2 linked regions of the Drosophila melanogaster genome follow. The protein of the gene in region 1 binds, or shares a complex with, the protein of each later gene. Each region holds a gene or a part of one and is shown on either strand. Other genes may lie near its edges. A codon is read from its position in the direction of its gene.

Region 1 (3,796 bases):
AAATCTTTCTGCAACGACTCCGCATCCTGCAATTCTGTTTGCACATGACCCAATTGTGTTTTTGTGGCAACATGCTCCTCCACTGCTTCCTCCATTTCGGTTTGTGTAGGTGACTGTGAAGTGTGCACATCCAAGTGTTGATCCTCCTCCATGTGCTCAGCTACAACCTCTGACGGGATTGAGGTCCCTTCGGCCTCTTCAACGGTCTCTTCAACCAGAGCCTCATCAGATTCCTCAACTTGCAGATTAGCCAATTGATCAGAGATTTCGTTGGGTTCCTCAGCGGAGGTAAGCACTTCTAGCTGCGTGGATGTTTCAACGGTCTCTTCAACGGTGGTGGAGAGCACAGTCAACTGTGTGGACGTCTCGACGGTCTCCTCAACGGCAGCCAGCACAGCCAACTGAGTGGAGTCCGCCATTTGCACCACCTGGCCGATTTGCAGTTCCTGTGGATCGAACTTCGTGGTCGCAGAAGTGGGCATCACGTAGGAGACAGCAAAGTTGTTGCCGCTATTTGTGTATTTGGACACCGAAACCGTGCCAGACAGGTCTACCTGATCCGTCCACGCTTGGTCCATGAAGCCCGACTCCGAGCTCTCGGTGGCAATGACTATTTGCCCGGCGTGAGAGAGCATGCCCATGCGAGATCCTGTGGGCAGCAGGGGAAGCGGCGAGAAGTGACCCTGCTCCGCTGTGGCCGCCGCCTCCGCCTCAATGTCGCTGATGTTGAGGTGGTGATCATAGGGCAGTTCCGGAGTCGTGACCGCCGACGTAGGCGGCGTCTCTGCGGGCAGCGATGTGGGCATGTCCTTGAGGAACGGCAAATCCGGCTGGGGCAGAAAGATGTCAAAAGTGTCGGAGATGTTTGAGCCCTCGCGAATGAACTCCTGTGTGGTTTTGGGAGGCAGCTTGATGCGAGGCACCAGCTCCCTGGCCACCTGGGGCCGCATCCCGGCCAGCTCACCAAATAATGCCGAGTGGAGCAGGTGGACGCACAGCGTCTTGTAGCACAGTAGCTGGGCGGCCATCATACGGTTCTCCTCGTAGGTCTTGAAGTCGGAGCAACCCTCGCACTGGGTGCAGCTGGGAAACAGATGCTTCTTACCGCGCAGACACAGCCGGCACACGTTGTGCTGGCACCGCTTGCCCTTGGGCGAGTAGGGATCCACCAGCAGCTGGCAGCAGACCACGCAAGACAGCAGCTGCCGTAGCTCGCCGAGCCCGGAGTTCAGCTCCTCCACCCGCCGTTTGGAAAGATTCGAAGCGGAGCGCATCGCGATGCGTGTCACCTTCAAGTATGCCGTCTGGGCCATGATGGCTATATTTTTATGCCCGGGACTGTACGCACGCCGCTGTTTGTTTACGTTTTTCAGCCCAAAAGTGAGACTCCGCTGGCCAAGTAAGTGCCTTGTCGGTCCGACCCACGCCACCTGCTCCGCTACCTGGTGCCTCCTGGGCTAGTTACCTGCAATTCCTCGCCCGTAGGAGCTCAGTTACACATGCTTAGACCGCGTTAATCCTCGATTTCATTATCTAATGGTAACTTTACTGGAACGCTTTTTGTTGGTTTCACTTTTGTGGCTTCGTTATCACTATGTTTCACGTGCAAAAAAAAAAAAAAAATTGGTTTACGTTTGAGAGGTCTCAAGTCATTGTTAATGGTTATGCTGCACACTGTGCAACAGCGTTGAAAACAATAAATTAGCAACTAAAAAAAAAAATTACCCAAGCAATATTTTGCTGAGCGAAGCCAGTGTGACCGCAGTGTGCCAGTGCGAACATGCTAGCTGCAGTGCGGCATAGGTGTGACCACTACCTCGAACAGCTGATTTCAGTGCTCTGAGGAATTTTCGCAGTTACGAACTGCGGTCCTACAACAAATTTTAACACTTAGTTTTTCAAGTAAATATGGTTTTTTAAGTATTTTCCGTCAAAGGAAAGCGGAAAACCTTGGAAATTATTTACTAACAGCTCTTCCGCTTACGCCAGGTGGTAGGAGAGCCAGAAAATGCCGGAACCGCGCAGTCCGATGGCCAGTTTTGCCGAGTCGGTGCTGAATGTCATCGATGGACCCATAACTTGGTTCCGTGGTATGTAGTCCACAGGGATTCCCAATGGCCATGGTCATGGGAGTCTCCAGATGCTGCAAGTTTGCGTTTCCTTTGGCCAACGATCGGAAAAACCGGACAAATTCCAGACAATTACATAATGACATAACCTCAACTCGCAGTCCATTTGTTTTTGTTTACACTGTATTGCTGAAATGCTAAAATGTTTATAATCAACCGTTTTAAGTAATTTCTAGCTAGCGCAAACTAAATCTCTTAGAATACTAGTCGGCAGCCCTTAAATGCCGTCCGTTACTATATAGTTCATCTAGTCAAAGCGGGATCATGTTTTTCAACAGAAATGCATTACAGCTAGTATATTTTATTAATGCGCCTTGTGTTAATCCCACAGAGAGCATTGTGGAGCCGAACCAGCAGAAGCAGAATTGGTACCACCAGCGCTTCCGCCGCGTTCCGACGATCGACCAGTGCTACACGGACGATGCCGTCTGCCGTTTCGAGGCCGATCAGCAGTTCCGCCGGGATCGCATGGTCGACAACGAGATTGTCAACATTCTGCGCCAGCGCTTCGAGGACTGCACCCTCTACGAGGCACCCGATCACATGGTCAAGTGCAGGCCGCTGATGGATCAGTACGAGAAGGCCACCGAGAACTGGTTCATCAAGTGTGAGTGGAATCCCTTACCCATCTTCTTTAAAGTTGTATGTGATATATAACGAGATATAACCCATTATAGATGGCGACTTGGGAGGCTACGCCAATGCCAAGACCGCGTACATGAAGCAGAAGCATCGTCTGATCTGGGAGCGTCGTCATGGACCAGTGGGCAGTGGCATGAAGGAGGAGGCCGCCCATTAAACTCCGCTTTTATGATGATGTTTTCTAGTTTCATTATCCGTTAAAACAAAATATACACGCCGTAAAACGATATTCCCAAGGATTGAGCTTTCTTTCAATTGTTTCAGTGTAAATTATAAGGTAAGAGCTACTAGGAATTATTTATTACTACAGCAGTTTCAATTCATTTGTCTATTAGTTGCATTTATTCTTAGTCATGTTTTTCTTAAAATAAATATTAATATTGGCGTTTGATATAGAATTTTGGCTATAGACTAGCTTAAAACTAATAGTTCTCAAGATTAAGAGCCTTGGTTAAGTTGTTCCAGTGAGTAAAATAAAGTTTTTGCCTGCGTACTGCAATAAGTTTACAGAATATAGTGATAAATCATAAAACTCACACTGTAATTCTTCAGACTTTTTCGAAAATTTAGACAATTTCAAAAAGAGTTCCATAATTTCTCATTTTTTAAAAAAAGGAATGCACAGTCCATAAATCATTTGCTTTTCTTAAAAAAAGAAAAAATTACACTTTTAGAAATAGATACCAATAGATAGGCAATAGTGAAATTTGTTCAAGCTTTCTAGAATTACGCTATCTTAGATTACTTTCGAGCTCAGCTAATCGAGACCAGCGGCTTGTTGATGAGACTCTTTTTGAGCTTAGCCAGAGCGCTATTTGCGGCCTTGTCTCCTGGCTTCTTGTCCTTGTTTTTGGGACCCAATGGTATCATGGTTGTGTCCATTAGCTTGCGTCTGAATCCCTTGTAGAACTGCAGCACGTGTGGATTGGCCCACACTTGCTTGGCGTCAAAGTCCAGGATGCGAATGGACTGCAGGGATTTCGCACGGGATAAGGCCACATAGGCCTGTCCAGCCTCAAATACTT
Region 2 (3,244 bases), on another chromosome or scaffold:
AGACACTGAATGCCTTTGTGCGCCTCACGCCGGAACAGGCGGGGCAGCAGGCCCAGGACGCGGAGCAGCGCTATAAGCTAAGGCAACCGATTAGTGATCTTGATGGAGTCACCATTGCCATCAAGGACAACTTTTGCACCAAAGATGTACACACCACCTGTGCCTCACGGTAGGAGACCATGAGAACCCAGCATCAGAGCAATATTATCCTTGTAGCCTTCGTTGCCAGGATGCTGCAAGACTTTGTGCCTCCCTATGATGCCACTGTGTGCTCCAGACTTAAACAAGCCGGCGCTGTAATTCTGGGCAAGACGAATATGGATCAGTTTGCCATGGGCGCCGGCACTGTGGACTCCCTGTACGGGCCGACTAAGAACATCTGGAGCGAGGACCTTAACAAGGATCACTGGCGCATCGCGGGCGGCAGTTCTGGAGGCTCTGCATCCGCCGTAGCCGCGGGTCTTTGTTATGCGTACGTACTAGCTTGTTTATGTTTTGAACACCTAACCTCAAACGCGATGGTTGAAAATGTAACATATTTGATCAAAATTAATCATCCGAGGGCTAAAAAGCAGCTGTGTCCACGGCGAGACTTGCAGATTTATTAACGGATTATGAGCGGACTCGCACTGACCGCACTTCGCATTCGCATTACATAACAGACTAAGTTTAGGGTCACTAAATGTTTAGATGATGATCTCGGTGTCGCCCAGATCCTCGTCCGAGGGCAGTGTAATGCTGGCGGGGTCCACGTAGTTGGGGCTGACCAAATCCACGCCGGCCAGTTCGCGGCGACGCAGCTCCAAGAAGCCCTCACGCTGGGCCCAGTTGCGGAACTGAGTGTCGGGCAGGTAGGCCCAGTAGAAGCTGCCCCACACCAGGCACAGTGTCACCGTAACGAAGAACGTCGACTTGGTGGCCTTGCGATCCTCCACCTGGTCCTTGTAGTCGAATCCGTAGCTCTGCCAGTTCTTGGGACTCGGATTGGCAAAGTCCTCGGTCGTAAGTGAAGTGGGGGCCGTGATGGTCTCATCCTTCTTCGGCGACGTGTTGATTGCCCGCACCACTGCCGCCTGGTTGGCGACCAGGGAACGCTGCAGCGCCACGGCGCGGTTGGTCAGACGGAACAGCGCAGACATCGCGTTGGGGAAGAAATTTCAGTCGCAAATTTCGTAAATAATCGAGTTTTCCCTTGATCGCTGGACTTCTGACAGCTGCGCAGTGTGAACGTTTGCTGCAATTTGTCAGCTGGCCGAGAGGGTAGCCACTCGATGCGGTATTTTTTCGGTATTTTACCTAGAACCGTTTTAATTTGAATTCCTAGAAACTTTGCTCGAAATAAATATTAAAATATATTCTTAATTTTCTCTTCTATATTCCAGAGCAATTGGTTCGGACACGGGTGGCTCCACCCGAAACCCGGCTTCGTACTGCGGCGTGGTGGGTCTAAAGCCCACCTACGGCCTCGTCTCCCGCCACGGTCTTATTCCGCTGGTCAATTCCATGGACGTGCCCGGCATTTTTGCCCGCTCCGTCAGCGATTGCGTGGCGGTACTGAATACAGTGGCAGGGCCGGATAAACTGGACTCCACAACCATCAGGCAGCCTTTTACCAGGTTACATCTGCCGGAAGTTGGGCAAATTGACCTGAGCACTGTGCGCATAGGAATACCAAAGGAATACCATTGCCACGGTCTTTCCGCCGAAGTTCTGGAAACGTGGTCTAAGGTGGCCGATTTGCTGGAGTGTAGCGGTGCCTCCGTCAGACAGGTTTCCCTGCCCAATACGGCAGCAAGTATATTCGTGTACACCATTCTTAATCAGTGCGAGGTGGCCAGCAACATGGCAAGGTACGATGGAATCGAGTACGGCCATCGGGCAACAGACGAGCGCAGCACGGAGCAATTGTATGCCCTATCCAGGGCCGAGGGATTCAACGATGTGGTTAAGACACGCATACTCACTGGAAACTTTCTGCTGCTGAAAAAGAACTATGATCACTACTTTGAGAAGGCTTTGCGGGTGCGCCGCCTTATTGCAGAGGACTTTGCAAGGGTGTTTGATTCCTCGGCCAAAGAGGAGCGCGTGGACATCCTTCTCACGCCGACAACTCTTACAGAGGCTCCGCTGTACAAGGACTTCGCCTCCCTGACCAACAGGGATCAGTGTGCCGTGCAGGACTTTTGCACTCAGCCAGCCAACATGGCTGGAATTCCCGCCGTGTCTATACCGATTCGCCTGTCCCAGGCCGGATTGCCCTTGAGCCTTCAGCTGATGAGCAACAGCCTCAACGAGCAGTTACTGCTCACAGTGGCACGATGGATAGAGGCGCAGGTGGAATTCGACAGCCTAGAGCACTCGCAACAGTATAAGGCCAGTTTGTAAAGCTTTTAATAAATTCTGTTTAATTGTTACAAGGGTTTTCTATTCTCTGAGACGACAAGATGGCCAATAAAATTATACGAACTTCGCACTGCGAATGAATCCGTCGCTGCTTGCTATGTATACCGTGTCGTTGGCTCCACAGCAAATGCTGTTCACACAACTGCCCACCTCCACCTCGCCCAGGGCTTTTGGCTTTCCTGCTTCCAGATCGGTCCATCCCTTAACCTTTTTGTCATAGCCGCCGGAGTACAAATAGGTCTCATCTCCGCAAAGGGCGTTTATGATCAACTCATGGCAGTCCTAAAATTAGATCAAAAGTCGTATATTACAGCTTGGATCGACATATGCAGGAAACTCACCGGCAAGTGCCAAATTTTGGAGTACTGTTGCTGCGAAAGATTGTTGACCAGTTGCAAACCCATCCCAGAGCGATCGGGAAAGGCCAGATAGCTCCGCTTGCCATCCACCATGGGCCCGAGAAGATGGAGCGGAGACTTACCTGGAATCACCGCCTTGTTGCTGTACTTTCCAGACTTGCCCTCCGCCACCTGAGACACCACCACGTCCAGGTCGCGAACAGTGTAAATGAGATTCTGCTCGCCGGCCAGTGACTTGACCTCCTCCACCAGGCTGTACTTGAAGAGCATGCGATCGTTGGTCCAAGTGGTCACCACACCCTTGTCATCGCCCGTGTAAAGCACGGATCCGTCGCAGTACATGGCCTGGATGGCGTCGTCGCAGCGGAATAGTTCCTGCACTGACTCGTCTCCATAGGGAGGCAGCATGAAGTGAACCTGGCCATCACAGCTGCTCGAGTAGACCTTTCCGTGCTGATTAATGGCCATGCAGTATATGTACG

The links.
Region 2: the proteins of ND-PDSW (region 1) and NP15.6 are in contact, whole or in part, in a cryo-EM structure (PDB 8BA0), measured with the Drosophila melanogaster proteins. Residues at the interface, in NP_651972.1 of Drosophila melanogaster: Trp40, His42, Gln43, Phe45, Thr50, Ile51, Asp52, Ala65, Phe69, Arg70, Arg71, Met74, Val75, Glu78, Ile79, Ile82, Leu83, Arg86, Ala112, Asn115, Trp116, Ile118, Lys119, Ala129, Tyr133, Gln136, Lys137, His138, Arg139, Leu140; in NP_650774.1 of Drosophila melanogaster: Gln101 (codon at 839), Phe102 (codon at 836), Arg103 (codon at 833), Trp105 (codon at 827), Ala106 (codon at 824), Gln107 (codon at 821), Arg108 (codon at 818), Glu109 (codon at 815), Gly110 (codon at 812), Phe111 (codon at 809), Leu112 (codon at 806), Glu113 (codon at 803), Leu114 (codon at 800), Val125 (codon at 767), Ser126 (codon at 764), Pro127 (codon at 761), Asn128 (codon at 758), Tyr129 (codon at 755), Val130 (codon at 752), Asp131 (codon at 749), Pro132 (codon at 746), Ser134 (codon at 740), Ile135 (codon at 737), Thr136 (codon at 734), Leu137 (codon at 731), Pro138 (codon at 728), Leu143 (codon at 713), Glu147 (codon at 701), Ile148 (codon at 698), Ile149 (codon at 695).

The regions. Positions count from the first base shown.
Region 1 is NT_033779.5:3,464,327-3,468,122, forward strand, and holds ND-PDSW (NADH dehydrogenase (ubiquinone) PDSW subunit), read left to right. Parts: upstream 1-1,830; 5' UTR 1,831-2,008; coding exon 2,009-2,090; intron 2,091-2,460; coding exon 2,461-2,736; intron 2,737-2,806; coding exon 2,807-2,928; 3' UTR 2,929-3,008; downstream 3,009-3,796. Other genes in the region: msl-2 (male-specific lethal 2), read right to left, coding at 1-1,313; Pif1 DNA helicase, read right to left, coding at 3,525-3,796.
Region 2 is NT_033777.3:19,025,343-19,028,586, reverse strand, and holds NP15.6 (NP15.6), read right to left. Parts: upstream 1,220-3,244; 5' UTR 1,140-1,219; coding exon 687-1,139; 3' UTR 572-686; downstream 1-571. Other genes in the region: GatA (Glutamyl-tRNA amidotransferase, subunit A), read left to right, coding at 1-169, 230-472, 1,383-2,385; CG14285 (uncharacterized protein), read right to left, coding at 2,458-2,685, 2,745-3,244.